Linked DNA regions of Schizosaccharomyces pombe. The protein of the gene in region 2 interacts with the protein of the main gene of each other region in a biochemical or structural test. Each region holds a gene or a part of one and is shown on either strand. Other genes may lie near its edges.

Region 1 (15,256 bases), on a different chromosome or scaffold from region 2:
CCTTGTGAAAGAACCAGAAATCTAAGACGGCAATTTGTTAGATAAAAACCAAAAACCAAGCGGATAACTAAAGAAAATTTTGCATTTAATCATCAAACTTTTCAACCAATTAAAAAAGATTATTTTTAGTAAATACTTGATTTAAATCAATTTTTTGAATCATAAAACATTATGTTGGTTCAAAACACCAAAACTCTTTAAAATATCACATACCTTTTCCAGTTGGGTTGAGTTTTGAGCCATCGTACTACTTAAAAAATATTCAAAGTTTCTAATACAACTAAAGCTTCAATACGATGGCAAATACAGGAAATGGTGGCTGACCTACCGGGGTGATGGCGGGAATTTAAATCTTAGCGGTTATGACGGTGGGTGGTTGGTTAATGCTGGAAATGCGAAGCAGATGAAATTGCTTCAGTTAAACCCACCAGTTCGGTTGAGCTTTCTTCACATTTTATTATTATTACAGTTTATAGTTATTTAATATATGTGACAATTGTTATTGTTGAAATTACGATGGTTCAGTGAGATATTTCTTCATGTGATTCTGTTGAGTGATATAATGAAAATTACAAAAGACAATTGTAGTAAATTAAATATATAATAGGAAAATATGAGAAAATCTACAACCGAGAAAAATTTTTTTTTTTTTTTTTTTTTTTTTTCTTTTTCTAATCTCAATCCACTAAATTTGCTGAGACTTACAGTCAAATAATGTCCCATAAATGGAAAGAATAGCAATAAAAACATCCAAAATTTAAAAAAAAAAAATGATAAAACATTTTCTTGTAAATATTTACCTCTTAATTAAGTATAAACAAATCCTATTCCATTGACTCGTAGATCTATTTCATGATATCTTGTGAAGCTGCAACTCTGTTTATCTAGTTCTTGCGCTAGACCAATTGGTTTAGAAACTATTAAATTTAAGATAAATTTAATTTTAAACAAACCAAAGATCACTTATAGTGTTCAAAATACTTCGCAAAGCATATTGCTTTTGCGATGGATTCACTATGAATAAAATATATTGCTGTTTAATTTGGTTTGAGATATCATATTCGTAGCAATTCAACGCTGTTCTTGATTAATATTTCTGAGCACCGTTATAACAATGTAACAAGTGGTATACTAGACTTCGCTAAAAGTACGCCATCATCGAAATCCGGTATAAAAAATCACCACCTCAGTAATGAATTTTTTCGGGGGAGAGAGACATATGTAAATGTTGTATTGTTCACGATTTAAATTTTTTTGGGATGTCCTCCGAACAACAAAATGAAGCTGATTCGAAACCCGCGGTGATTCCTCAATGTTTTAAAATTGAAAATCAATACGAGACCTTTTCCCGTCTGAGTGAAACGTCAACTCCTGGTGTTGTACCGTCTGTGTCGACATTATGGCGGCTTCTGTTTGAGCTGCAAAAAATGATTGAGTGTGAACCGTCTTGTGTAGAATATTTTCGCCAGCGCAAAGAAGAGTTAGAGTCTCATGTCGATTCTGAAATAGAAACCTCAAAAGACGAATCGTCGGTTAATAAAGTGGAAGAAAAAGTAGAAGAATTTAAAGAAGACAACGTTGAACAAGAAATAAAGCAAAAGCGTTCTCTTTCCGAAAGTCCACAAGAGTCTATGCTAGAAAAAGTTTCCAAGAAGCCCAAAGTTTCAGAGGCCCATAATGAAGAAATCAGTCCCGAAAATGTGGAAACAATTGAGAATGAATTAGATTTACCGGTTAAGGGTAAAGATGAACAGACAACTGGGTTGGTATATAAAAACGCAAACGATCTTCTAACCGGTTCATTACTATCTTTCATTGTTGACGATTCCTTCTCTTATGAACAAAAAAAGAAGCTTTTATGTGTAGATTCCTTTCCAACCAGTGATGTACGATCGTTGGTGGCAGGAACTCCGGCGACTGATGATTTTTCTCACAACAAGCCAAATAACCAGATTTCAATATCAACCTTTTATTCGTCACTTGACCCATATTTTCGTGCTTTCAATGATGATGATATTGCTTTTTTAAAAAAAGGATTTGACGTTTCGTCTTCCTATAATATTCCTCCTTTGGGGGAACGCTATTACGATTTAACTCCGGAAGATGAAATGACCAACCTGTGTGCTAACTCAATTTACCAAAACCTGCAAACCTCTGCTCAAGGATCCCTTGAAGCTTTTAATGAGGCAGATACCGTCTCTGAGGAAGTTAGGTGTGGTCCACTCACTGAACGACTAATGGCTTCATTAATTCCTTGCTACACGCAGAATGATGAGGAGCAAAAACCTTCTATTGCTGTTGGCGAATTTGCGGAAACCGATTCTGGATCCGAGAAAAGCAAAATTGGTACAAGCATTGATGGAATCGAGTCAGGAAATAATGAATATACAGAACAACCGGATATACAAGAGTCGAGTCTTTCAATTTGTGAGGACCGCCTTCGTTACACCCTAAAACAACTAGGTATACTTTATGATGGCGATGTAGATTGGTCAAAGCGACAGGATGATGAAATTTCAGCTACCTTAAGGAGTTTGAATGCTCGTTTGAAGGTAGTTTCTGATGAAAACGAAAAAATGAGGAATGCGCTGTTACAGATGCTTCCTGAGGAAATGGCATTTCAAGAATTCCAAAATGTGATGGATGATCTAGATAAACAAATCGAACAAGCGTATGTCAAACGTAACAGAAGTTTGAAGGTTAAAAAGAAACGTATTGTTACTGATAAAATTGGCTCTTCAGCTACGAGCGGCTCTTTTCCTGTCATCAAATCATTGATGGACAAGCGCTCAATGTGGTTAGAAAAGCTTCAACCTTTATTTCAGGATAAGCTTACGCAACACCTTGGTTCGCCAACTTCTATTTTTAATGATTTATCGGACCACACTACATCTAATTACAGTACATCTGTATGAAGCGTTTAAAATTTGAAAGTGTATATACTGTAATTCTATCATTGTGATCTAATTTAATTGCTTGCTTTAGTGAATAAAATTTGCATGAAATAATAATAATACTTTTAACCGTAGAATAGATTGATGTGCTCACTAAAATATGATAGGAAGATTACTTAAATGCACTTATAAACATGATTCATGAAGAAAACAAAAAGGCCAAAAAGAAGAATGATTGATAGATAAAATACGTCCATCACTTTTTGAAGCAAAACACCTAAAGTAAAATTTTAAATCCATTCAAACTCACCATTCGCCTTGAAAAATAAGTAATCTTTTCCATTAACGCCAACTACGCCATCTCTGAACACACATTTCCATTTATTTTTGTGGTGGTTCACTTTGTCATAAAGACAAAGAACGATAGCCTGTCCAATATCAGAACCTTCTTCAGTTTCGGGAGCCTCATCTGAATCAGGATCGTCTAAATCTGAGTTAATTGCTTCGTCAGAAGGCGTATCAACAGGTGGCTTTTTTTCATCTTCGTTATCTTCTATAGTGCCGTCAATTTGCAAAATGCGATTCTTTTTCAAAACTTCATAAATTTCAGCATCAGCTTTCTGTGCAATAGCAAATCTATTACTTTCAAAATTAGAAGGGCTCCCAGCATCATCTAGATCATGAATAGCACCATCGGTTTGAGGCACGTCATTACGAGAATTAGCAGGGGTGGTATTAGAAGACTCTGTCTCTCCTAATTCAGACTTTTTCGGAGAGTTTTGATTGGGAAGTAACAATCCGCCAAATGAGTTAGTAGATGAAGAGTCGGGAGCATGTTCTTGGCCCGTAGAAGTTACATTTGCAGTCGAATGGTCGTTGATAATCGGTGAGTCAGCAGTTTGATTAGTGGGCAGTTGCAATGAGTTAGAGCTGTAAGAAGGGAAGGGGGCAGTATTATTAGGGTTGGACTGTACGTTAGGTATTGCAGAGCTGTCAAACGAAATATTTGTTGCTGACTGGGGGAGAGAGGGAGTAGGTGGAGAATAATAATTTGAATTACCATGTTGCTGCGCAAATGTATCCATCTGCTGAACAGCACGAATAGCGGCTATATTATTAAGTATGGGAGAGTTTGCAACAGCTGGAGCAGTAACATCTAATGAATCTGTCCTCAAGCCGCTAACTGGATCAAACAATTGACCAATGGGAAATGTGCCAACAGGAGCTTGTGCCCAAGGAAAAGTTGCAACATCGGTAGCAACTAACTTGCTTTGCCATAACTGTTTTATTAGAAAAAGACCTAAACTTCATAAAACCGTACATTTTGTAATTCTCGTAAAGTTGCATCATCAACACCATTTTCTTCAAAATCGCTCCGTGAATTAGCAATCACGTCTAATATCACGTGGTGATAGACCTCACCCTTGATAAAAACATTAGAATAACACTTAAAACAATACTAACTTACGACGATCGAATTGGACATTGTGGTGCAGTTGGATGCGTAGTTCGTAAAAGGATACTTAGAAATAGCGGTAGGTGGACCGCCGCCTCAAATAAGGAGATACAAGGAAGCGATACATTCTCTAACGCGAAGAAATATACTACAACAATTATAGGCGAGTAAATAAAAAATCAAGTACATGTCTTACTTCTAGTAACAATGCGCCGCTATCAATCACTCTGCGTTGCTGTTAAATGTCTAGTAAAGTGGAAAATTCAATTTTTTACTGTAGACTTTTCAAGTTTGTGAATACCGAAATTGGCAATATTAAGTGATATCTTTTAACTGCACAAGTTTTCATAAAACTAACGTGATAATTTAGCTTATTTTCTATAACTAATTTCATTTTGTAAATTTAAAGTAAAATGATTTGTTTTAAGTAAAGGTGCTTGGTAAAGCAACAATACTAACATAATATTTAGCTCAAATAAAATCGGCTTGAGAATGAAAGATTTAAATAACCTGTATATTCGGTATTTGATACGAGTTTTACGACAATAAGACGATATCACGAAATATCATTACTATTTGCGATTATTACTCTTCGCCTGGTAATATTATAAATTATATTACAATATGGTGTGTATTATCATTATCGAGAAAGCGATCCTGAATGATTTATTTGAGGTTATGATAAAGATACGAGTACCGAAAAGGTATTTTCTTTTAACTTTGCTAGAAAAAAATGATAATTTTGGAAATTTAGGTTAAAAGACAACAGACAACAATTGGAAGGATGAATATTTCTGACACCATGTAAATGTATTTACAGTCTTCTATTTACAAGCTTATTGTTATTCAAACAACTTTGCACTTATTCAGCTTCCAGCGCTATTTCTTTAAGCCCTCCATTCAGGTAACAGAGTCACCGATGATATATAAACTCACCACTTTGGAAATTGAACGGTTCTTTTTAGGAGGGAGGACGGACAAGAGGCACACTTTCAGTAATATTCTTGATGCAGTTGCTTAACTTCCTTATATGTCTGTTCTTTATTTTTAAAAGATGCGTGTTTACGGTAATTGGTGGTGAATTTTCTTATGACAACATTGATAAGAAGCCAATTCTCGTGGCTTCGTATCCTGAAGGGTCGAGGTTTAATGTATCAGCGTCTATTAAAACGCTTCCTGATTTAGTTACTTTAACATTTCCGAAACTCGTTAAAGATCCCGGATACGTATATGAAGAAGCTGAAAAAGGAGATCCGGAATCACAATTTTTAATTGCCATGCTGTACGCCATGGGGCCTGACGAACGCTTAGGTTTATCGTTTCCTCGAAACGAACCGTTGTCTCGAATATTCCTTGAACTATCGGCCACCCAAAATTATACGTATGCTTTACTTGCCCTTGCATATAAGCACCTTAATGGACTTTCTACACCGATGTCTGTGGATAAGGGGGTTGAGCTTTATAAACAAGTAGCTCATCAAATATCATGCTTAGTTCAACCCTTGTCTCATTTTGCTCCTGATATAGCAGCAGAATATCCGGTTGACCTATATGATTTATCACGTACTTCAAGCTATAGTGTTCAGAAAAAAGATGACATCGTTGAATACTTAAAGGACTACGCTTTACGTGGAAATAATATATCGGCCCATATAAGCCTTGCTACGATTTACCAGTACGGAACTCCTGGTAAGTTGAAGGATATAAAATTAGCAGTCAAACATTATCTTGCAGCTATTCGTTTAGTAAATTCTGGAATTCCAGATTCTCCTTCTGAAGCTATAAAGAGTATTCACAACAATCCAAGACATGCGCCAACCACGAAAGAAACTGCTAACAGTTTATCAATTGCAGCTTTCAGGTTAGGCTGTATGGCTCTACATGGTGAACTTGGCAAACCAGATCCATCTCTTGCGTATGCGTGGTTTGAATATGGTGTATCCTTAAATCATTCTTCCTCTAAGGCTGCGATTGCCTACATGTACTTTATGGGATATCCTGTGGCTGAAAACACTGAGTCAATCACAAAACTTTTAGAGAATGCATTGGCTAGCAATGATCCTCTTGCTTTTGCTGTAGCTGGAAAAGTGTCGTTAGCGAATGGTCAAATAGATGAGGCTACAGTACATCTGATAAGAGCTGTATCTAATGGGCATCTTGAATCTGTATTGCATATTGCTGATATATATTATGGTTCCAATAATCAATTGTCAATAGCCTACTATGAAAACTTTATTTCTCGAGTGTTGGAATTGTTCGACGTTAAGACCATCTCTTTTGATCCACTAACTAGACACTTTGCTCATCGCCTTTCCGCCGAGCTCGGTAATTTAATGTCGCAAATTTTGGCAGCAAAAGATCGAGATCCATCTACTTCTTACTTAAAAACCGTCATTTTTCCGACAAATGAACAAACTCATCGTAACGCACGGATTGCGATGAACTATTACTCTCGTGCGGCAGCGAGAAATCACATCCACTCGCTTATAAAAATTGGAGATTTTTACAGAATGGGTTTGGGTACCTCAGCAAAACCTGAATTGGCTTTTTCTTATTACTCTCAGGCGGCTGCCATTCATCCTTCTGCATTGGCTTATTGGCGTCTAGGATGGATGCATGAATATGGAGTAGGTGTCCCAGTGGATTTTGAAATGGCAAAGAAAAACTATGATAATGCTTTAATGCACGATACACGAGCATTTTTGGCTGTGACCTTGGCACGTTTAAGAATGAGGCTTTCTTCTCCCGACAGTTGGTTTTCTAATATTTATCGCATACTTGGAAAAGTCACTTACAAATTTTTGAAGCTTGTGCAATATTTTATTATAAATATTTTTGACATACTAAGCCCGGCAGGTCCGGACTCACAACTTCCCCCAGAACCACCAACACTACAAGTAGATCGTACACCACAACAACCTGACCCTCAAGAAACGTCTGAGTCCTTGCCCTCGCCTAATACTGAAGAGATGGGTGAATCCTATAATGATATTCGTTTCACTTATGATTACATTGATGGAAGGTTTTTGGAGACTGCGTGTGTCACGCTTATTGTGGTAGTTGTCGGACTGGTTTTAATGAGACGCCATCAACAGCATCGACTTCAAGAACGACGTGAGCGAATCATCCGTAGACAAAACCGCGCTTAATAAAAATTGTATCTTCGATTTTTTTGCGTTCTAATTTAAAATTTTGTTGCTCGATGGATGCAGAATAAAAAATATATGTATGTTAGGGTTCGTCGGTGATTAAATCATGCTTTGAATAAATTTTGTTTTTCATCTTTCAATTGGTTGATCTATATTTGTTGTCTGTCAGCCAATTAATCGACTTTTGTTGTTTGAATGTTAAATATCTCCAGAAAAAATTTAGAACCAGAAGGTTCAAAATCAAGAAATTTCAAATTAATGAGACATGTTATTGTATAATGCTAATAATTATATAAATTAAAGTCATAAACTCAGCCTGGAACGATTCATTGTTACATGTAAAGAATTTCGATACCAGCTCGGCGCAATTTGTATGTAAACGATTAAGGTACCTCTGTACGTTCAATTAGTATACCCTTGATTTTGGTGTAAGCTAGCTAAACATATTTAAGTTCGTACTAAAGGTTTTCTAACTAGTACGAACGAAAATTTTTTTAACAATAGTAAGGAGTCCTTTACGATTTCCAATCACCATTTTCTTCATCAAAAGACATCAAATGAACAGGAACACCAAACTGATTTAGAAACATACTCATTGTAAATTCAGTTCGTACTTCCTGAATTTGCCCTTTATTTTCACCTTCTTCAATACGAAAGGACTGAGTAACACCTCCAGCCAAACGAATACGTTCAGCCATTGGTTTAAAAAGTACTTCAGCGGCTTGCTGAGCAGCATTTTTCCATTTCTGTATCAACGTTTGCAAGTCTTTATCTTCATTTTTGGCTTCAACCTTTCGTGCAGTTTCGGCGGTTATGAGCTGCTCTTGTAAATTTCTGACTTCTTTTTCAAGTTTTAAACGACGAGAAAGCAACTGTGTGATTTCAGGGTCGGACTTTGGATTAAGGCAATTAGAGATAGGTGACTTGAAAAGTCGTTTTTGCCGTTTTATTGAATTAGGCGTTGTTCTTAAGGGAGAAGTAACAGGTTCTGAAGAAGTGTTTGTTTCATCAGAGTTAAGATTTGTTACAGCTAACGATGGTTTTAGATTAGTGTCTGCAACTTGAGGACTGGCAGTTTGTCTTAAGGGGCTTTTGAACGGCTTAAGAAGTATATTTTTGGCTTCTCGAGCCCTTTTCTTTGAAAAAGGTGTAGTAATTGGTAAAGAAGTATGTATTTTTGTATCTCGCAGGTCCGGCGTCAAAGCCTTCTCATTCTCTGGATGTACTGTTTCTGACTGCTCGATAAAACCTAGGTTATCTGAGTGATTGCCACTGTTATTGCATTTAGGAGGGTTTTCTATTCCTAACTGACCCTGTGAGTCACGTAAATCACTTTCGCTTAGGGAAACTTTCAAATCTTCTTTACACTGTGAAGTAGCATTTTCATTGAGTTCAGAGTTAATTGTTTGCGACATTTTCAGTTAAATCGTTTTAAAGTACTAATTCGAAGATGAAAGAGTGAATGTTAAATTATAACAAAGATGCAATGAAGCGCGTAACTTTTGTCAACAAACGCGTTGAGTGTAATAGTTGAATGTTTAAACTCTAACTTCAAATAATTAAATGAATTGAATATTAATTGTTATAGAAATGAAGAAATACCACAAATTCCAGATAAACGTTGAAAACGTTTTACTAGCAGAAGGTGAAAATAACAGCAAGCAACAAGAACTTAGGTAGAAGAAGACTGAAGCACATGACTGGTGGTTCCAAAAAATTAAATGTTTATACAAATTACGATAGTAATAAACTAAAAGGTTTATTAATTTACAAATTTGTTTTTTAACCTTTTTTAAACCGCGTAGGCTTTGTTAGAAGGTAATCTGGGAATACCACCTAACTCTACTGACAATACTAGGAGAAAAGATTTTGGTACCTACAGAAGGTAATATTTAAGATAAATAGATATCTTAAAAATTCACTTGCAATTCTCGATGAGTAAAAAAGAACATTGAAGGAAAGGACATTAAAATTGCTGGAGGATTTTGTTTAAAGTATCAAATTCATGCCGTCTTCGTATAAAATTTAGAGAACCGGTTTAAATATTATTTCATTAACCAAGTTGACGAAGAAATTACTTAAATTTTGAAAACTTGCTACAATCGTCATTGAGAGATTCAAGAGTTCGTATTTTTTTTTTACAATTGCAGAACAATGTCTATTGACTTTGATTGGTCAAAGTTAGACTCAGAATTAGAAGCAAAAGTTTTACATCTTCTCGAAGGACAAGTTTCGAATTTGTCGCTACCATCTTATATAAAGCATTTAAAGGTTGTTGACTTCCATTTCGGCAAAGTCTCACCTCAGATTACTATTCAAGAAATCGGCGATCCTGATCCCCAATTTTATGAAAATGAAGCTTTCGAATTAGCTAACCAAGAACTAGAGGGTGATCAATGCTCCCGCAATAATGTTTCACCAGTGCTTACGGATCTTCCACCTTACGCTGCTGAACATCCATTTTCAAGACTAGCATATTTTAATCCCGCATTTAATTCACCCGGGATTCTATCTGCAAGTGGACTCACAAGCCCAATTCCTGAAAGTCGCCCAAGTACTCCAATGGATAATCATCAAGAAAGAGATCGTTCTAACGATTTCCAAGTTACTGCACACGTATCTTATGACGGAGACGCAAATCTAAGCCTGGAAGCGGTTCTATCGATGAATTACCCGAACTCTGAATTTGCAGTTCTTCCATTCAAACTTTCATTTATTAGGATTTCCATCGATGCCATTGCTGTTTTGGCTAAAATGGGAAAGCGGACGCATCTATGCTTCGTTGATACATTGCTGCACGGAACTGGAGAGCATGCATCAAGTGTTATTCGAGATTTAACAGTGGAAAGTATTATTGGAGAATCTAATAAACAGCTGCTAAAAAATGTTGCTAAAGTCGAGAAATTTGTATCGGAAAAAGTTAAACGTATTATTGAGGATGAACTTGTCTGGCCTAGCTATATAACCATTGAATAATTCTTTACAATTATCCTAAATATATAAAAAATTTCCTTTAATCTCCTACTTAAAGGTTTAGGGATTTAGAAAATATTTTTGTCTATACATTGAGCTCTCTCATCTACCTCAACTTACGTTAATGAAACCATTTTCTCCTTCTCAAACCAATTTTGAAAAGGAACAACTTTGCTTTGGTGTATATCAACTTAAGGATTGCTACCAGCAAGTAATTGAGGCACTCTCGCTTGGTATTCGCGTAATTGATTCAGCAATTACATATCGAAATGAAAAAGAATGTGAACAAGCCATTCAAGATTTCTGCCATCAAAATGTGAATATTAAACGTGAAGATATCACCTTAATAACTAAGATTCCTGACTCCTTACAAGGATTTGAACGTACCTGGAAAGCGGTCGAACAGTCTCTTCGCAGAACAGGTCGTCCAAAGTTAGACGTCGTGCTAATACATTCACCAAAGTGGCCCGTACGCCGTATTGAGTCTTGGCGAGCACTATTGCAGCATCAAAAAGAAGGAAGGATAAACAAAATTGGAGTTTCCAACTATAATATTCATCATTTGGAAGAAATTATCAGTCTTGGGTTGCCCCTTCCAGCTATTAATCAGGTCGAATTTTCTGCATTCAATAACAGGCCTACTTTTCTTTCTTACTGTTTTAATCACGGTATTTTAGTACAGGCTTTTTCACCGCTAACAAGAGGATATCGTCTTAGTGATATTCGACTCTTAGATTTATCCTTAAAGTACAATAAAACACCGGCGAATATTCTTCTTCGTTATTGCCTTCAGAAAGGGGTTTCACCAATATTCAAAGCTTCGTCGTTTGTTCATATCCATGAGAACGTGAAGGCTGAGCAATTCATGCTTGACCCATCAGATATGGATGTCATGGATACTTGGGATGAAGAATTCGTGAGTAAACCTACTTGGAATCCTATTATACTTCCTTGAAACATTATAAAAATGATTTTTTGTTAAACTTATATCTCATTGTATGTAGCTTATCATAAATTATGTCTTTGTAAAATATGTGGTATCTCCAAAGTGCTGAGCACTAACCAAATACCAACCACGAACGTCTAATGGAGAGGGCGGATTTTTTCTGGATTGCATAAAATGAGTTATAATATATCTTTGGATTCATTACCTTGTAAGTTTTTTTTTTATGTCTTCTAATCAAATTATTTAGACTTTGAATCTACTTATAACGAAGAAGATAGATCAGCAGCTGCTCAAATTGTTGAGGAGGAGCTAAAGAGATCTGGAGGTTTACTAATTAAACAAGAGGAACAGAAAAAGAAATTTCAATCCCATCGTTTATCAGATCGACTGGAAAATGCCATTGTTGCGGCTGGAAAGGGAGAAAAACTTGCAGCCATCGACGTTCAACGCTACATACAGCTAAAACCACCGGGAACCCGTGAAAGCCTGTTGCAGTCCGCTGTTGTATGGGAATATCAAAAATCTCGCAATGATAACCTTTATTTGCTAGAAAAGCATGGAGAAAAAGCATTTGATAGTTCGTTGGAGGCTTTAGAAGTTCAGCTAGAATTATTAGAAAAAGAGTTAGTAAACACCAAAAAACTTTCGCAAGGATGTAATCGTAAAAGGAAGCATTATCAAATGGAAGTGGGTGCCCGACTTGCTGAAGCTGAAGTAAAGTTTGGACAATTGCTGCAGAGCAGCATTCAGTGCCGTGTTGCTACTCTCTTGTCATAATATCAATTTGATTGAACGTAAATATTATCCCTAATGAATATCATAATCAGAGTTACATTCTTGCGTTAAGGTAATTCGATATAATCCAGGGTGACTAACTTAAGCTTCCTTAGCACTATGGACTTCTATGTAAATAATTAAACATGCCTCACATCAAAAAGACTCCCGGTTTTCGTTTAAGGTTAGGATTACTTTTGATAAGAGTATCCTAGTAAACAGTTAAATGTTAATACAATTACTACTATGCGCGTTATTATGGGCCAACCAAGTCGTCGATTTTTTAACTAAGTTACTTTTTGTCTAACCTCAGTAATACGTACTTTCTTGATTATATGCTATGGATCGTGATCAATAGCTATAAACACTTCGTCGCAGCTTCCTTGTTACTGAAATCTTATTATTACTTATACGTTTAACAGCTGAATGATTTCTCTTAATTTAAAGTTTTTCTCTTTACATTTTCGAATACTTTACAAAAATTTATCGCAAACTTTATAGGAAAAATTGTCGTTAGATGAACTATGACTATCTAGGAACCAATAGTTCTTTTTCATAAATGCATCAACGAGTAAGTTAAAAAAGCACAAGCTTAGACGGTACCACACTTGTCAATGACAATGCGAGCACGAGTAGCACCAGAGTTAGAACCCAAGCTTTCAACCTTCTTGACAACATCCATACCCTCAGTGACCTCACCGAAAACGACATGCTTGCCATCTAACCAGGGAGTGACAACGGTGGTAATGAAAAATTGAGAACCGTTGGTGTTAGGACCAGCGTTGGCCATAGACAACAAACCAGGCTTGTTATGCTTCAAGGCAAAGTTTTCATCAGGAAATTTCTCGCCATAAATGGACTTTCCACCGGTACCGTTACCGCGAGTGAAATCACCACCTTGGAGCATGAATTGGGGAATGACACGGTGGAAGGTGGAGCCAGCATAGCCATAGCCCTTCTCGCCGGTGCAGAGAGCACGGAAGTTAGCAGCAGTCTTGGGAACGACATCGTCGAATAATTTGAAGACGATACGTCCTAAAGGTTGGCCGTTGGCAATAACGTCAAAAAAGCAGTTGGACATGTTGACTAAAAGTGGTTGGGAGAAGTTGTAATTCAAGATGTTTCGCTTTTATATATGCTGGAAAATCGAATCTCGAATTTTACCAAATATATAAAGTGGATTGTTTCAGAAAAGTTATAAGAAAAGATTTATGTATTTAATTCAGGTTTTTTTAACATCGTATTTTTAATGAAATCATCCTTCGTTCAGCCTTCATTGCGTCCTGACTTCACTTGTTCTTTCTACGAAAGTCTGAAGGCTTCTTGTCATTAAGGAAACGCAACAAAGCTACGCAAGTTTACTATCGTAACTCTTTAACGAATATTTGAAAAATTGGTTAATTTCTAGATAACGCGGAGTTTTGCATACTATTATGTCGTTAATTAAATAGAAGTGAAAATCAGTATGCCGTATATGTAAACTAGTAGGATACTCTCTCAGTTGTCTGCGCAATCTGCATAATCAAATTGTTTTGGAATCATGTATAAAAATTCCCATATACGCATCTCAGGCTGGTCGGATGAATTCGTCACTTATAATACTTACCTATTCCATATTGCAAAATGTCTCTACGATATGTCTGACAATACTAAGAAAAAAATGGAAGTTTAGAGGATTGTATACTAGCTACACGACAACTGTTCACAAATACAAGTTTACAAAACTGCAAAATAAAATATAAAAGACGAAAAGTGAGTCATCAGTTCGAAAAAAATATATATATGTTTCATTCAGAGCTGGCAAAAATGAAACCAATAAGCCAAACGAACAAAACAAATAGGCAATATGAAAAGTAAACCTTCAGAAACCCGATGTAAAACATAATGAAAATAATGTATAAGCTAACAAGACATAAAAAATGGAGTAGATTTTAAACAAGAAAAGATCATTTATCACTTGTCTAAAATCCACATTTGAAAAAAATAATTAATAGCCCAAGGACATTAAACGGAAACGATAGGAGCGGTGGCATCCTGAGCTTTAGCCAAAGCTTCTGTTTCACGACGAAGGGCAGAGAAGTCCCAGTCTTCCTCATCACCAACCACTTCGTGAGTTTTGTCTTTGTTGCTCTCAAAGTATTCACGGCCACTTAAGTTACTTCTACCAACAGCGCGGTTACTACGGCGCTCTTCAGCTTGTTTGAGAATACGATCTCTCCGACCATCACTCCATTTTTTAAAGTTTTCTTCAGTTACAGGGGTAAGATTAGGCCCTAATCTATGGCGCTCAATCTCAATAAAGGCCTCAAGACTAATTTCTTCTTTAGTATCATCCTTTTTCTTGTCGCGACTAAGCACGTAGCCATAAGGAAGAGCATGTTTGTAAATACAAGTCATATTACCATTCGGACATTGCCACAACCATCCATATTTGCCAGTTTCACACGCCTCCAGAAAGAACTTACAGACGATGTCCGTATTAATCCAAGGACGTTTCTCAAGAGGCAAATCAGTTTGCTGGTCACGAACATCTGAGTAAAGGTCGATTTTTTGTGACTCTTTAACTTCTTCTTTACGAGTAAGAAAATTCTGAGGTGTTTGTTTCTTGGGTATTGCATTGAACAAAGCAGCCACTTCTGCTTTAGCAGCTTCTGCCGCGCGTTTTTCTTCTTCACGACGTTTGCGAAGAGCTTCCTGACGTTTAGCATCTTTGCTGCCTGAAGCTGCCGCGTTTTGCTCAATTTGACGAATTTTTGCTTGAACCTTGGTAGACCGATTTTTGTTTTTCAACCCAAAAGTAGCGTCAGCTGCTTTTTTTGTAGGATCCTTTTTAGCAGCCTTGCCGGGATCACCCTTTCCTTTTGCGGCCTTTTTAGGTGGCATTTTTTCTTAGACTTCTAAAAGTATCGAATGAAAATGAAAAAGTAAAAACAAAATAAGCAAAGATAAAAATCCACGAAATTTTTTTGAAGGGGTTTTCTTATTTTTTCAATAAATAAATAAACAGGAAATAACGGAAACCAACCGTACTAATGGATAAGGAAAAGAAGGGACCTATCGAGGA
Region 2 (16,248 bases):
AAGTATGTATCCTAAATATTGAACATGAACAACACTTATGAAATTGAAAGAAAGCTTGGCTTTTTCATATATTTCATTTACTGTTTAAAACCGAGTAAAACTTGAGTCAAAAGCCTCAGTGATTCAATGGTCAAAGTTGCCCAATATTTAACACTGACTTAATAAAAGTTAGAAATATTAATTTTGTCTGCTATATTTTTTTCGTGTGTTATCCATACTACAATAGTTTGTTAAGGGCTCTAACAATTATGAAAATCTTAAATTACTAATTGATATTGGTAGGAAGCTTGGAGCAATTAAAGAAAATAAAGTTACAATTACCAATCACGTAAAATGATCTGAATTAGTCACTTGATAAAGTTGGGTAGCATCGCTTTGTTCAGTAGCAAGATTGACATCTATGAAGTCTAATGAAATAAAGAGTGAACTTCGAGTGTTCAAAGAGCGTTTTCTGCTAATTAAGAGTTATAGCAATACTGTTCTTTAGTTATTGAAATGCACAGTTAGACACTTTTTTTGAAAGAGCCGGAACGCAAAAAACGAAACACTTTAAGAGTAATATTTCGGAAATGATTACGAAACGAAAACCAACCTCCCTTAGCATACGTTGGTAGTACTAGACGAGGCCAATTAACGTATTGTCTACGATGAAAATATAGGTAGATTCCAGCATTCACCATAGGGATAGAATATAACAGACGACAGAACAGACTTGGATTTCCAAATAATTCTTGTATAGTTAATATTATCGTGGTGAACAAAAAAATTCCAGGTGCCACAAATCTAGTCCAGTGAAAACGCAAAGGCAAGTCCGGAATCGAAAGTGAGTCGTAAGGACGAAATACTCCAAGACCCAAATCATAGCTATCTTGCAGCATACCGTCAAAAAAATTGTTAAGAATATATCTACGAAAGCAGTTTAATAAATCTTTGAAAGCTCCAAAAATGGTTCTCGTTCCATGGCGAGTCACATCGCCTTTTAAGGCCGGGGTACCAGTGTAGAGATCACTGATATAATCTCCAGTATTAGCCCATATTAAGCGAAAATCTTGTAAAAAACTATCATATTCTTCCAAACTCTCAGAGCTAGAAAGTACACCAATATCGTGTAATTGCATGTTTAGAATAAACTGTGCAATGCTAGTCTGAATGACGTTCGTCCGATCTAAGCAATCCATACAATTTGTCCTTACAAAGTTGGTTTGCATTGCAGTAGTTTTAGATCCATGCTCGGCATAATATTTTCCTTCTATCAAGAGACTTTGAATTTCAGCAAGAAACAAAGGGAGATTTCTACTTCCTTGCTTATGATAATCGTAGTAAACATAAGACAAAGGAGGGTTTTTATTTCGTTTACATAATTTTTCAAACCCAGACCGTAGAGGTGCTTCACGTCCTTTTTGGTCTAGAAGATTGACCACCACAAGATTGTCCCCATAATCGTTGGCAAGTTCTTGAAAATGCTTCCCAAACACAGTCTCGCTATAATCAAGAGGTTGTAAAGATAATAAAGGTCGATAATGAAGATCATTAACTTCGGCCCAGAACATGGGGATACTTCCTCGAATTTGAGTAAAAGAAAGAACCATTTGTTCTTCAAGGGTGATGGGTGATTCGATCATTATTATTTGTTCAATTTCATTAAAATTAGCAGCACTTCCTTGTGCGTTTACACCTCTGGTGAAATACCGCGTACCCGCATAGTCAGGAGAATGTCGTGTAATAACACACAGTCTAAGGTTATAAGTCTTTAAAAACGAGTTAGTAATGGCGATATTACCCTGAATCATCGGTTGAATCCATTCTTGAAAGCCTAAATCCTTATTCGTCAATTCAATTAATTCATGAAATGCATATTTATTCCAAAAAAAGCGGTAATTATATTTTGATGTCAGTTCAAAAGATTGGGTTAGTACGCGTAATCTTTGAAGGGAACAGGTTAGATCTAACGTTGGACTAAAAAGTATTTGGCCTTTTGACAAATGTTTATTGAGCAAACTGATATAATGTAGTTCTTCCTCATCTTTAATATTTAGCAGACCCGTGGAGAATGGAAGAGTCCTTGTAATTGGGAAGATAGCAAATTTCCTTGCCCGATAAATATTGTTTCCGAGAATTGCTGCATGCAAATCACAACTTGTAACAAGAACTACATATTTGTATATTTTCAATCGAATAAATCCATATAACTGAACGTTATTATAGTCAGGTGTCTTGCTGAGATCAAGAGAATTGCTCAAACTAAGGCATCCGTCGACTCTATCTATTCGAAGAGAAGCTTTTTTTTTGGAACATGATAGATAAATGCTGTCTGGAAATACTCTAACGTCCTGATTCATTATTTTGTTGTATTTGAGAAGCGTAGATGCTTTTCTGCTATAATGAACCCCGGACTAATGTATTTTCCAAATTAGGTCTCAAAAGTAAAAAATGAGAATGCTATATTTACAAAAATTCAAATCAAACTCTTTAATGTCCATGAAACGATTTTTGAAGGCTTGATTTCCAACGCAGCGCCTGAGTAACGAGTTCATTGTTACCTGAAGGTTTATGCAGCACGTTTTACAAAACGAACTTTCAGTGACAGTGTAATGTATGATATTATTAACAATTCTCATTGCACTATGTAATGATACGTAAAGTATCGCTATTCATTGTACCTTTGCTTTACAAGATAGGTCGTCTGGTGATGCTGATACTCCCCAATTACCTATATTAAGGCTGAACTACAAACTATAATTCGAAGAATAGGCAAACGAAAATCATAATACTGTATGATATTATTGATTTTGAGAGTAGCAAAAATAATTAATAATTCATCGTAGCGTTTTTCAGATATCACAGAAAACATACCATACTCTATCGCATAATCAAAATAGTTTACGAGCCTTCTTTGACTGCAAGTAACATATAGGCAATGTCGCTTTATATTTTGATACATAATTTCTATAAAAGTTAGGTGTTATATGATAACCAACTCTTCGAAAGGAAGCATATGTTTTGCTTTAATTAAGCTTTATTGATATTTTTACCGTTGTTAAATAATATATACTAAAGATCTGACCCAGTTGAATTTGCTATCTATGTTGTATTGCTTTTTACTAATACAACCGAACTGCCAATTTTTACATAAATATTTTATTAAATCGGATTGAGAAGTAAAAATTATAAAATCATACATTTAATAAAATCCTTTTTCAACACAAATAATCTCCATTGTTAATTAATTGCTTTAACCAACAACCTTGTTAAGCCTAATTTTGACCGCAGGAATTAAAAAAAAACACTAAATAAAAACAAGATAATTAAGAAACCAACATCTGCGAAACATAAAACTCGGTGGAAAATAAATATGGTTAAACGACATAGACACAAAAACAATGGTAATGAGAGTAACGTGAGTATTAGTTCGATAAGCATGCATATGTAGCAATAGCAAGTGCTTAACACGTGCTAGCAAATTATGTGAATTGACATGACAAAAAATTCACGTCAATTGATGAATGCGTAAGGATCACCAGAAATCGCGTGAATACACACCAAGACTTGCTTAAGCAGCAATAGGTTGTGCACTAGTGCTAGGCATAGACGTTTCAGCAACGCCTTGAGATCCTACTTCTTCATCATCCTCCTCGCCAATTTCAAAGTTATCAACAACTTGGGTGCTTTGAAGAATGTTTGGTTGAAAACTAGGTTGATAATCTTCTGTACCCATTTGAGAATATCTTTTACTACCTGTAGAGGTGTAAGAGTGTGTAGTGCCGGAAGTAGTTACACCATTCGCATGAGAGTAACGGCGTGGAGGTTCATTGATTACATCTGTGCGAGGAACGACACTAGCTTGAAATTGTGTTTGATAATGACTTTGAGAAGGCAAACCATCAATGTCGGTAAGGGGTTCAGGAGTTTGGAAAGGATTTTGCCAATTAGCCAACTCACGTTCAGCCTCAACAATATAGTCACGGGTTATGTTGTAACCATCGTAAATAGGGCGAGGCTCACCGGGAACAATGGGAGTATCGTCCAGGAGATCGAGGATCTTCTTGGCATACCCGCAAAGAATAGCAACCTTTTCAGAATGCTCAAGTAATGTACCAATATGAAGAGTAAAAGCACGTTTAAAGTTTTCGCGGGTAATGTTAGTTAACTGCGCTTCTGCAACCAAACACGCAGCTTCCTCACGAACTAGTTCCTGTTCCATAGTAATAAGCTTTGGGGACTCAGGATCACGGCTTCTAACATCATAAATGGAGTTAAGTAGCTTTTCTTTCTTAACACGGGTGGGTTGAACGCTAGCCTCAATATCACGGATGGTCTTCAGACTAACACGATATTGATCGTATCTGTCTACCATATGCTCCTCAAGTTCGCCAATTTCATATAAAAGTACACCAAGCTTATCACTGATATCGCTAATATCATCATCGCAATCTTCACCCCAATACGAAAGTTGATTGGCACATTCTTTGCGCTCCATGGCAACGTTTTCATAAGATCGAAGTAAATCCTTTTCCATCTTAACGAGAGCTGCAAGGCGTTTAGCCATTTCGGGAGTAAACATACCCACAGATGGATAACGGAATTGTCTGCCGAGTTTATTAACATTTACTGCACGACGGGTAGTAGAGGGAGGAATTTGATTCTGTTTCGCTTTAGGAGGCGCGCGAAGCGTATGAATAGAGTAAGATGGTTGAGTGCCCATCATCTTGCTAATTACTTGATAAACGATTTAAGACTTTGAAAATATGTATATATAAAAAGAGAAAGGAAATACTAATAAAAAGGTTAGTATGTTAATTAGAGGTAGGTTGAAACAATGTTCATTAAAACATACTTAATCCGCCAACTCACACTAGACAAAGCGAAGTATAAATAAGGTCAGGCTCAAAATGGACTTATTAGACTACACTTTCGAAAGTAACAAAAGAGCTGTAAAGTTCAGGTAGATTTTTAGCGACTTGAACCCATGTTTTAAAGATTTGAGCTAGGCTTGAGACGTCACTATGTCAACATGGAATTTATATGTCGAAAGCATAATGTCATTATTGTCCGTACACTGAATGCGACACCTAAACAATTGAAAATTAATAAGGACTTGTCAATCAGCAAACATATAGATATCTTAATCATTTCCCTCCTCTATGACAATTAGCAATTTCATAAAAATGAACGAACAAAATAGCTTATGATACATTATGAAAAGATATGAGATCACAAATAAATCATTGAGAAACTTTTGACCAACACTCGACAAGTATTCATAGTTGTTTATGCAACGTAATGAATAGGTATAATAAATTAATAGATATGGGCAAAACAACCATCACTATGCTAAAAAATTCGTAACTGAAGCCACCATTTTTACCTAGGACTCACATTCCAAAATGGATCTCTTACGTCGTTGTGAGCTATTGGTAGGAATACTTTGATAATCCTGAATACCAGTAGATGTTAACTGAAAAGCCAACTCTGATTCTGCAGAATGAGCTGGTGGCTGCTTTGCCATGAATGCATAGCGCAGAAGCTGATGAGAGGGACGACTCTGTCCATCTTTTGATTCTTCAGTTGAATGCCTACTGTAAAGAATGAGCCGATAAGATAGATTATCTAACCAATTAGTGCTGAGAAGCGGTATCAACTTAGCACCTATCCCACTAACAACTTTTGAAGTCATCTGGGTGGTAACAAAGATAGCCACATAACAAGAGGATGTAATTTTGCTTAACAAAGAACTGATTGTACCGATTGCCTTTTTTCTGCGGTTTATTGTTGTTTTGGTAGAGGAGTTATGAAATGCAAAATTCGAGTCGTCTTTACTCGAGAACTCATTTTCTTTGTTTAACGTCAAAGTGTTTTCTTTTTGAGATGAATCTGAAAGGGAGCTTTTTTTGCTGGTATTACGACGAAGACGTAGATAAGCATAATCTTCTGGACTGGTTGGATATGCAAGTTGAATAGGCATTGATAGGTTGTCAATAATTAATAATCCAATTTCTTTAAGATGTTTTTCTTGATCGAAATTTCGTAAAAAAGCTAGAATATTCACTAAATTGGGTGCATATACAACATCGAGAAGATTTAATAACTCATCAGTATCGCATTTTTCCTCTTCATCTTGGGAAGAAGGGACGTGATTGTCTAATAGTTGACGAAGTCTCTCCATGGGAATTGGTTGACAAGTTTCGACCCAAATCACACGAGAACCGGAAAGAAGAGCGTTTGCAGTAATCTGTAAAGCCAAACTTGTTTTTCCCATCCCAGGTGCTCCACATACTTCAGAAATATACCCTCTTTTAAGACCACTTCCTCCAAACGCATCATCCAATAATTTTGAATTAAAGCCGAAACCTGGAGCAGAAAATGCTTCGTACGCACGAATAGCAGGTTGAGTCACTAGACGATCTAAAAAGTATTAGACACAGTTAGCTAGGCTGGAAGTCGCATACGTTGACTAGACAGCATTTATTTCAATGAAGGTTAAATCCAGCACAGTGCGACCTACTAGAATAACAGCGATACAGTTTATATTAAATTGATAACAGCATAAAAAGGATATAGGAAAATTTCCCTTTACATGAGAAACAACGATACGTTGTAAGGTTTGGAGGTGTTGGTAGAACGACAAAGGAAATCCTACGTGTTTTACTTTGCAATCATTTCATTAAATGTTGTTTCTTATAAGGAATAAATTATTTTAGTCTTAAGGTTAAGCAGATTAGAAGGTAACAAATTCGTAACCTTTATACATAATGGGAAATTTGACTAGGTAGGTCAACAGGAATGCAAGAGTAAGCTCAAGTTCATTTGAATCTATGATTCATTACTGCCTTTGACTTTGAACTTTAAACTTTGGGTTCATATAACGCAACATTTACATTTGTATTGAAACTCAAGAGGGTTTTAATCAAAATAGCTATTATTTTCGTACTACATTCCGTTTATGAAATAGCGTGTCGACCGATATGTGTGCAATTAGTTTACTATGTACACAATACTCATTTTATTGAAGAAATACTAAAATGGAAAATTATTAACAAAAATCGATTGCATGCCATGCTTCAATAAACGTATAAGCTCGTCAACGAAAAGAAATTGACGGAAGTTCCCATTTTCAAAGTACAATACAAGCAGTATTTATTTTTCAAAAATTTAAAATCGGTTAGATTTTTTCTTAAAGTTATGTATAAACAAGGTCTCATATACTAATAATATGTGTATATATTAGATTTCGTTGATAAAAAAGGTTCGTACCACTACACTAAATTACGCCCTCCAGTAGAACATAGGAGCTGGGGTACTACAATTTTTTCTTTTAGGCATTTACTAATCAAGTTCTGCCAAGTCATTGCCATAGTTAAGCATTTTCTCTTTTCAGAATTGAAATTCTGTAATATAGAAAAAGAATTTTAAATTTATGGAAATTGGTATGAACTTGGTATTTTACTAACATAAACGGGGAAAATGAGCCATGAATTTTCACCTGAAAATACGGCGGTTCTGTTCGAAGCCATGAAGCAGGAGCAGCATAATAGGAGACGTCGTGTTCCTATGGAGAGACGAAGAAGGGTGGTTCTAGCCTGCTTTAACTGCAAAGCCCGGAAAGTTCGTTGCGACGGGGCAAACCCATGCAAAGCTTGTGCTTCCAATAATTTGGAATGCACATATCCAGTAAAGGATGAAAAAGAAATGGATTATTCTAAGGACTACTTTATTGATCTTTCAAAAAGATACAAGTGTTTAGAATATATTGTTGAACGTCTTTGTTCCACCAAAGTTTCGACTTATACTACACCTTCATTGATTGAAGTTTGCAATCGTATAAGCAACCAAAAATCACTATTATCTTCAGATGTCTTTTCCCTCAATAGTGAAAGCACCAATAGTCAACGTGACGTGGATACCCTTACACAAGGTGCACTTGTTTGTTCACAAATTCAGCAAGATCCAACGGTCGTAGCAGAGGATACGAACAATGGAATCAATGCTGATGCTAGCGATCAAAGCGTTGACGAAATCATGAAATTAATTGGAAAAATAAAAGTTGACTCTAACGGCGAATCCCGTTATATAGGAGCTTCTGCTGGTGAAGCATTCGTTGACTCTGTTCAAAGTGAACTACTTGTCGATCCTTCTTTTTCCGAGCTGAGCGCGTATTCCCATACCCATCACAGTTATCCTCCGAATGAACATGATGTAAATGCTGTTCAAAAAGCGCTGAGTCTTCTCCCTCCTCCTGAAGTTTCAGATTTTCTTATCAAATCTTTCTATGGCCATGTTCAAGCAAATTTTTTCTTTTTCCATGAAACATTACTTCGTTATCGTTTAAACCTTATCATGAGCTTCCAAAATCCATCCGTTGACCCTGGCTTTCTTTGCTTGCTAATGATGATCTTTGCACTTGGTAGTATGTTTGCTCACATGGAAATTCGTTCTGCTAGCAATCCTTTTGACAACCCAGGAAAACAGTTTTTTGATACTGCTAGGCTTTTGTTACCACAAGTAATTCAGCAATGCAAACCAAGCTTGGTTCAGGCTTCCATACTTATGGGGTTGTATCTTCAGTCTACACTTTCCCAAAAGAGTTCCTATACTTACTTCGGACTTTCTTTATCTGCTGCTGTCGCAAACGGGTTGCATCGTAGCTGTGAAAATCCAAATATTGATCCCAAGACCAAAGAACTTCGTAATCGCCTATGGTGGTCGGTTTATACCATGGATCGCTTAATCAGTATTGCTACAGGACGTCCACTTTCTATTGCGGACAGCGAATGTGATGCGGCATTACCAACAGTAGTGCCTGAATTGGAAATAGAAGGTTCTGCTTCCAACGTTCATAATATCATATCTATGTCTAAAATTGCGAAAATAATGGGAAAAACTATGGAACAACTTTATGGAACTGTCAATTATAAAAAGAATCCAATAAACATAATTGAATCCCTTCGCGCCGATCTTGAAGAATGGAAGCGTTCTTTACCACCATTTCAGATTTTGGAAAATCTTGATGCTGAAGACCCACTTTTTCGTGCAAATGTGCATTTACACATGACATATGACCAAGCTATTATCATCATGTCTCGACCTGTTTTACTACATAAAATGAAAAATGCAAAAAATTCTCCGCGTGTCGATCGTATCAATGAAGACTGCATTTTAGCTGCCAGGCACTTAATTTCACTCGTACATTTACTTCAGAATCATTCTCAACTCTCTTGTTACTCTTTCTTTGACTATAATTATACCTTCTCAAGTGCGCTGGTGGTTTTGCTTCACTGTGTTACCGAACCTTGTGAAGAAGATGACATAGCAATGCAGTATGCTTACTCAGCTCTCGACTATATGGCAGAAGGGAATGAAGCTGCCAAGAATTGTGCTAGAGTTATTCGACTCTTTGATGCTCATCTCAAAGGAGCTCGCTCTGACGGTAATGGGAATACTAGCCAATCTGGTTTCATGGCGTGGCAGCGCTGGATCGCGGAAGTCTCTGCTAAAGACGAACCTGAAAAACTTATGAGTCCTTACAATAAAAGTATCGGTGGGGGAAGAAATAGTAATTCTTTGACTCCCAATGCAAATTTAGGTGCAGATGTTTCGTTCTTTCCAACTGATGATACATCTTTCCTTTTGGACCACAGTAAACTGGATGATGATCTAGAAAAGTTTGCTAGCACTTTGGATCCTATAAAGACAACGCCTGATCTTGCCAACGATTCATCTTTGTTAAACTGGGCTAATACCGATCAAGGCATGGATATCGAAGGTAGTTGGCTAGGTAATATGCATCCTACTTGGCTAGATTACGTTTGTCCATAACATTTTTGATGTTTCCATATTTATCTTTTCATTGACAACATCTGTAAAACATCTGAGCATATCGAGTTTTTGGTTTTTTTTTTTTCTACTAGAAGGCTTTATTTTTTGATCTCACGGATTTTATTCAATATCGAACAAAAAAGTTAAATTTGGTCAAGTTTGTTTTGCTAAAGAAGCAACATTCAAAACTGTTGGACTTAAATTTCATAATACTAACTATTTGTTTTTTATTATTTTATGCTTAATCATGATTTCTGTATGCGCTAATACGTTTTGCTGGCTGAAATGAATTGCACATATTACAGATTCCACTTCCCATTAGTTTTAATATTTCAATCATATCAAAACAAGCTTTTAAATGTTGTAAGTTACCATTGCAGTCATCAGAACGAATTCTGTTAATGGGCTTCGATTTCATAGCACAGGTTATTTGCTGAATTAAACGTGGAATACGTTACAGTTATAGTAAATAGATAATGATTTTTTTTATCTTCTATTGAACAAGAACGTCAGTGAAAAGTATAAAGAGATTAGTAGACTAATCATGTAAACTCGCTTATTTAGGTAAAAAAAAGTGGCAATGATGTTTGTTATAGACATAAATTCTCATTAAAATATATAAACAACAAGGGTTTTAATTAGAAAGTCGTGTTATACTGCTTATTCTTAATAACTATGCAAAATTTTAAAGCAATTCATTTGAAATTCATTTATTCAACATAAATAAAAGACGCGTTAAAGGGGAATAATTTACCTGATAAAATATTATAAGCAATTTGAACGGTTGCTCAAGAGATCACACAATCTTTATCTTTTTTACCATGGCTAGGTTGAGGAAGAGTTGTCGACTCACCTGAACTCGGGTTATTTCGGTTAACAATTTCTGCAGCAGAAAACAGCATTCTAGCAGCACCAGCACTTCCAATCAGTGTAGGACACAAAGGTCTTTGTTCCACTGGTCCTTCTTGTTGAATGCGTTCATCTTTATCTGGTTGAAATTGCTTGTTTGCATTGAAAAACTTATTGAACGAGGCTGTCAATTCGGGACTCAACTTGTAAAGACCAAAGTTGCGATAATATAGACCTTCCTTTGGAATACGTAAATATTTCATGAGAAAGTCGGCTTGATCTAAAACCATTTTTTGAGCAGGTTTTGCCAACGCAGATGATGGCATTGCATAAGAAAATGTCATTAAACCTTCGGAAAGATGCTGAGCAAAAAAGGTATTATCAGACCATACTTTAAAGCTTCCATTACATGATTGATCATACAATGGGCCATTGGTGTCCAAAGCACCTCTAGCCATATCCTCTAAGTACGTCGGAAGCTTTTCAATATCTTGCAATCCTTTAGTGAATTCACCTAGACCCATCAATAAAGACATGGCTGTCATAGTGGTACCAGTGTTATAAGTAAAGCGTGCCTTATCTAAGACCCATTTTCCGTCTTTCAAACTAAGACCGTCACAAACAATATGATTTTCATCAAGCAAGTTTTCCTGAATCCATCGAACACAATTCCAAGCAAACGAAACAAGATGTTGCTTTTTGTTAGGATCGTCCAACGCCAGAGCAAGTCGCAAAGCAGCAACTGCAGACATAGAAGTAGAGCAGGCATTTAGATTAGTCCATGGTGGACCAGTAGTACGGGTATGCCAAGCAATACCTCCACGTTGCTGATTCCAACCTTTGTTGATAATAAGCGAAATTATACTTTCTGCTCGACTAACATAATGATCGCGACGTGAACTGTTTGTAGTATAATAGCCAGCCGTAGCCAAGCCAATAGCTACCTGTGCATTGTCATCATAATATACGTCGTCATTTCCTTCAAAATAGTGAAAAGCACAACAGGCATTAAAAACGGGGGACCAATATTTCTTCAAAGCTTGGAACACATGTTCGAATTTCCGCTCAAACTTGCTGGTGTATCTTAAACTGTCTGCCATTGCTTCTGCATATACAGCCACGGACCAAACAAGAAAGATATGATCTTTGTCAATAGTGCCTGAACAGGCAAAGGCGCTACCCATTCTATCAGTGTACTTATCAAAAAAAGTTTTAAAGCATTGATCTACTACATTCAGCGCTTCGTTAAGGTAAACGTTTTCACTCATTGTAAACTTTTTATAATTCCTGGTTTACAAAAATTGTTCGTTAATAGTATATTCCTGAGAAATCGTTAAATAAGGCAAAAAAAATCTGCCAAATGTACAACTTGATATAAAGAAAAGAAATAACAGTTATTTAATAATGAACTTCCTGGGAAAATGTAACTCAAAAAGCAGTAGTTGTCAACTACTTAAAATTCATGAAATCGTACGCTTGCTTGGTCTTTGCAAGTAGTTATTATGAAACCTCGCTTTTCTTATAAAAAGTTATCTCGGGCAATTCGTAATTGGAAAAAGTAAGATAAACGCCTCACGGTTTCCTCAATAATTACATGTGGTAATTCTTGGTTATTGACGAAATGCTTCTCTGAGACGTGGTATCCAGCTACTCGGGAATATTGCGTCATATAAATTAACCTACTCAAACAAGCGAATTGTATATTTACTAGCTTACATGTGTATATGTAAGAGATAAAAGCACACAGTACATTTAGCAGTTATTTCTTCAAGTAAAAACTACCATTTTATATTCATAAAAATAAACATAGTATCGAGTGTTTATTCTTTTCTTTCTCCCCTTACAAATAGCTTTGGTATTGCATCTCTGTGCTACTGTGTTGCAAATATAAAAAATTAAGTAAAAAACAACTACTACAATTTTACGATTATCACTTAAATAGAAAATCAAAAGCAGCTTTCATCATTGCAGTTATATACATGTATTTAAAAATATGTAAGGTAATGTCATCATTTAGCGTTACCTAGACTACAAAAAATGCTAAATTAAGGCGAACAAAATTCCGGAAAGAAAGATAAACAAAATAAACGAAAAAGAAAAAAAAATAAGAAAAGAAAAGGTGATGCTAAAACAAAAAACATGTAAAATTTGCTTCTCAAAATAGTAAATTTGGAAGTGAAATAAATAAAGTAGTTGACAAAAGAGCGTAATTCAGGGAAGAGACCAAGGAATTAAGGGGAAATAAAAAGAAAGAAAGGTCGGCAAAACATGGAGAAATAAAAGGAAAAGAAAAGATTAGTGGAATAATCAAAAGTAAAAGTGTTATGAGCTAGGGAAGCAATTGTGTCGAAACGTGTGTTTTAGAGCGATCGATAATTTTCGAGTCGGGAAGTGTTAGACTACCAGCTAACGATGTGATACCAAAATCTGGAAAATCTCTGTCCAAAAACGTTGAGGAAATAGCTGAAGAGTCATTAGATAAGACTGTTGATGTACCACTTGAATTTGTATAGGCTAATGTTTTACGAAGAAGGTCCTGCGTAGCATGGAAAGAAGGTGGAGACTTGGCATAATTGTTCACAGTAGCCATATCACGGTGCAAATCTTTGCTGTGAAGTGTCGGTGAATGATTAGATGACCGGGGACTGTATTTAGAGGATTCACTGTTTACAGATTGATTTTCGCGCTTATCTTCGTGAGATAGAATCGATAGCTGAGGGGAAATTAAATCACTTAAACACGTAGAAGCAGAAAGTTGCGTACTACCAGACTTGGAGTTAGGAGAGTTATTCAACAAAGCTTCTTGACTTTTATTTATAGCAACAAGAAATTCGGTTGAAGGCAAAGGACGGTCAAATTCCTTCGCTTTGGGGGAAGTAGAATCTTCAGAAGATGAAATAATGAAGTTTCGTAACTTGAGATTCAAAGGAGTAGATGGGCGTATTTGGGGTAAAACGGGAAAAAATGTTGAAGAGGTGATACTATCAGCAATATCTTCTGACTCTTCAGAAAACTGAGTAGCCACTGAAGACTTATTTTTACGGTTCTTTGATTGTTTTCTTGACTTACGAAACGGTTTAGTAAACCCATTGAAACCTTTATTCAGCTGTTTAAGAAACTTTGAAGTTGAAGGATTGATCCTAGATTCTTCCTCAGTGTTACATTCATCTGGAATGGAACTAGACGAAGGGAAATATGATATTGAAACACGAAAATCAGTGTTTTTATTGACTTCCTCTTTACTGGCAACTGCATCAGCCGGTGCGGAAACTCGACAAAATTCTAAATCAAGGCACATTTCTGCAGTAGGTCGTTTGGCTGGATCCCACTTTAACAATTGGGACAACATTGAAGCAAAAGCTAAATTCCATGGTGGGGAAAATAAGTCTCCAAAGTCGAGCGGAGCCATTTTGGGTAGAGAAATACCTAGCTTATTAGCTAATAGTTCAGCTCGATCCCAGATACCACCTCCCTTATCTCCAGTATTCTGAGATTGCTCATCAGGGCTTCCAAGTATTTCACACATTTTATATAATTGGTCGAAATCATCATTTCCAGGAAAAATTGGTTGAAGTGTAGCAATTTCAAATGCCATGCATCCAGCAGCATATATGTCGACCGGAAACGAATAATAAGAGTCCCGTAATAATAGTTCAGGTGCACGATACCAACGAGTGGATACGTATTCGGTATATGGAGGCCGCGAATTAATTTCACGAGCAAGACCAAAATCTGCAATCTTAACATTGAAAGAAGAAGAGTCACTATTTGAAGAAATTAAAATATTTTCTGGTTTCATGTCTCTGTGGAAAAAACCATTTGTATGAATATGATTGAGGCCTTTGAATATTTGACGCATAATATCTTGAACTTGCTCAAGAGTCAAAGGGTCGTTCTTTCTAGTACTTATTAGCTGGTACAAATTGCAATCGAGAAACTCCATTACAATATGTAAACATCGAAATTGATCTATATATAAATCGAAAATATTAACTATATTTTCATTTTCGGAAAGTCTCAACAAAGAATGTACCTCGCGCAATCTGGTAGCATCAGAAACCTTAGCCAGCTTTTTCTTCATACTTTTTATAGCTACTACTTCTTTAGAAGGAGTTTTAGTAGTTGCAAGGTAAACTGAACCGAAGGTGCCATCTCCAACCTTTCGCACAACATTATATACTTCATCAATTGAAATGCATTTGCGAACCTCCTTGGTATACTTTGGTTGCTTGCCTGTAAATACGGTATTCGTAGTTGGAGTACCCCACAAATACTTCTTCATAATATATCCGCACAAAAATCGAGTTTAGGTACAAAATAGAATCAGTGAAGCACCTCAACAAAAAAGATAAAACATGCGAAATCCTGTAAAAAGAGATATAAAAAAACTTTGTTGCAAAGGCAATATTATACTTGAGAAGCAGCTTCCAAGTAGCATACAGCTTAAACGCAATAAAAATCAAATCAAAATCAGTGATTTTCAATAAAGAATGAAATTGAACAAGTAAATACACCTCTCTATACAAGTATTTATCGTTGAGAAATGGTGTAACTTATTCAAAGAAAAAATGGAAGCGGTAAATGGATTTAAGCCTGTATTAAGAAAATCACAGTGCAAATTAATGAATTCTTTATACAAATGGTACAAAAATAGATAAAAGAACAATCCCTTATTACAACACCTTGTTTTAGGAAAGTAAAAGTAAAATAACTTCAAAATGGCATTCGAAGAAAAAATCAGTGCCTAGAAGTTGAATTGTAAGCCAACCGTGATTAATTATTTTTAAAATGCAGTCAACCCAATTTTGACACGAAATGTCATCGAAATCTGGTGTTTGCTAATACTCTATAGAATGAGAACCTAGCAGTAACACTTGAGAAAGAAAAAAGAAGAACAATTAAAGTAAAATCTCTTCTCTAAATGATAAAATCCTTTCTCACCTACTATGCACTGTTTTGCGATTATATTAAGTCGTGAAGTACCGGTAAACCCGTTTTTGTGTTTGGTTGCAAACAACTCGTAACGGAAAAGCCCACTAAGTTATGTTAGGGTGACATTTTAGGTAGCGTGCAGTTATAAATAATTACAAAATAAATATATAAGCCGGCAGTATTTTATATTATTAGAAATGCTATCAACTTCGATTAAGGGACATAAAAGAGGAAACTATCACACATAAGTAGTAGCATAAAATTAACTTAATTCTGTAAGTCACATTGTAAAATTTACTCTCAAAGCCATCCTGGAGTTCATTAAGATTTTTAAGTAGGATGTTCATATCTTAAGCAAATAAAACACGTAGACAGATAATATATCAACTAGATAAAACAAGTGTATAACTCTTTGCGACTTCTTCGCCCACAGCAGCATTGATTTCAACAAACCAATGTTTAACCTGAGGGAAATAACTTAAAACATGCTGAAGAATTAGCATTGTTACTCAAAAATAAAGACATACTCTTGTGGGGAAAGTTGAATTGCCAATGTTAGCAAAATTCTCCGAAACCAAGGACTCAGCAACATTTACTGAAAGAATTCCAGGAAGCTGTCGATTAAACAGTGTATAATCATCTTCGTTTTGAGAT

Evidence for each region.
Region 1: the proteins of rad55 (region 2) and sfr1 form a complex in vitro, tested with the Schizosaccharomyces pombe proteins (one study listed by BioGRID).

The regions. Positions count from the first base shown.
Region 1 is NC_003423.3:1,574,346-1,589,601, reverse strand, and holds sfr1 (DNA recombination mediator Sfr1), read right to left. Parts: upstream 9,147-15,256; 5' UTR 8,915-9,146; coding exon 8,015-8,914; 3' UTR 7,722-8,014; downstream 1-7,721. Other genes in the region: upstream binding transcription factor, RNA polymerase I specific, Hmo1, read right to left, coding at 1-21, 214-243; ngg1 (SAGA complex subunit Ngg1/Ada3), read left to right, coding at 1,260-2,915; transcription factor TFIIA complex large subunit Toa1, read right to left, coding at 3,185-4,174, 4,216-4,317, 4,363-4,380; hrd3 (HRD ubiquitin ligase complex subunit), read left to right, coding at 5,358-7,499; ERMES complex subunit, membrane tether and lipid transfer protein Mdm12, read left to right, coding at 9,654-10,475; SPOM_SPBC28F2.05C (xylose and arabinose reductase), read left to right, coding at 10,597-11,427; Prp19 complex subunit Cwf7, read left to right, coding at 11,593-11,626, 11,666-12,195; ppi1 (cyclophilin family peptidyl-prolyl cis-trans isomerase Cyp2), read right to left, coding at 12,785-13,273; translation machinery associated protein Mep33, read right to left, coding at 14,197-15,075. UniProt on the Schizosaccharomyces pombe protein: Involved in DNA recombination repair and meiotic chromosome segregation.
Region 2 is NC_003424.3:2,061,303-2,077,550, forward strand, and holds rad55 (DNA recombination mediator, RecA family ATPase Rad55/Rhp55), read right to left. Parts: upstream 6,613-16,248; 5' UTR 6,463-6,612; coding exon 6,447-6,462; intron 6,403-6,446; coding exon 5,366-6,402; 3' UTR 5,140-5,365; downstream 1-5,139. Other genes in the region: sac12 (inositol polyphosphate phosphatase), read right to left, coding at 504-2,339; eisosome BAR domain-containing protein Pil2, read right to left, coding at 3,551-4,702; SPOM_SPAC3C7.04 (transcription factor), read left to right, coding at 7,462-9,813; mug191 (alpha-1,6-mannanase), read right to left, coding at 10,602-11,930; serine/threonine protein kinase Pit1, read right to left, coding at 12,992-14,944; ate1 (arginine-tRNA--protein transferase), read right to left, coding at 15,978-16,082, 16,122-16,248. UniProt on the Schizosaccharomyces pombe protein: Required for radiation resistance and meiotic viability and acts in recombination and recombinational DNA repair pathways.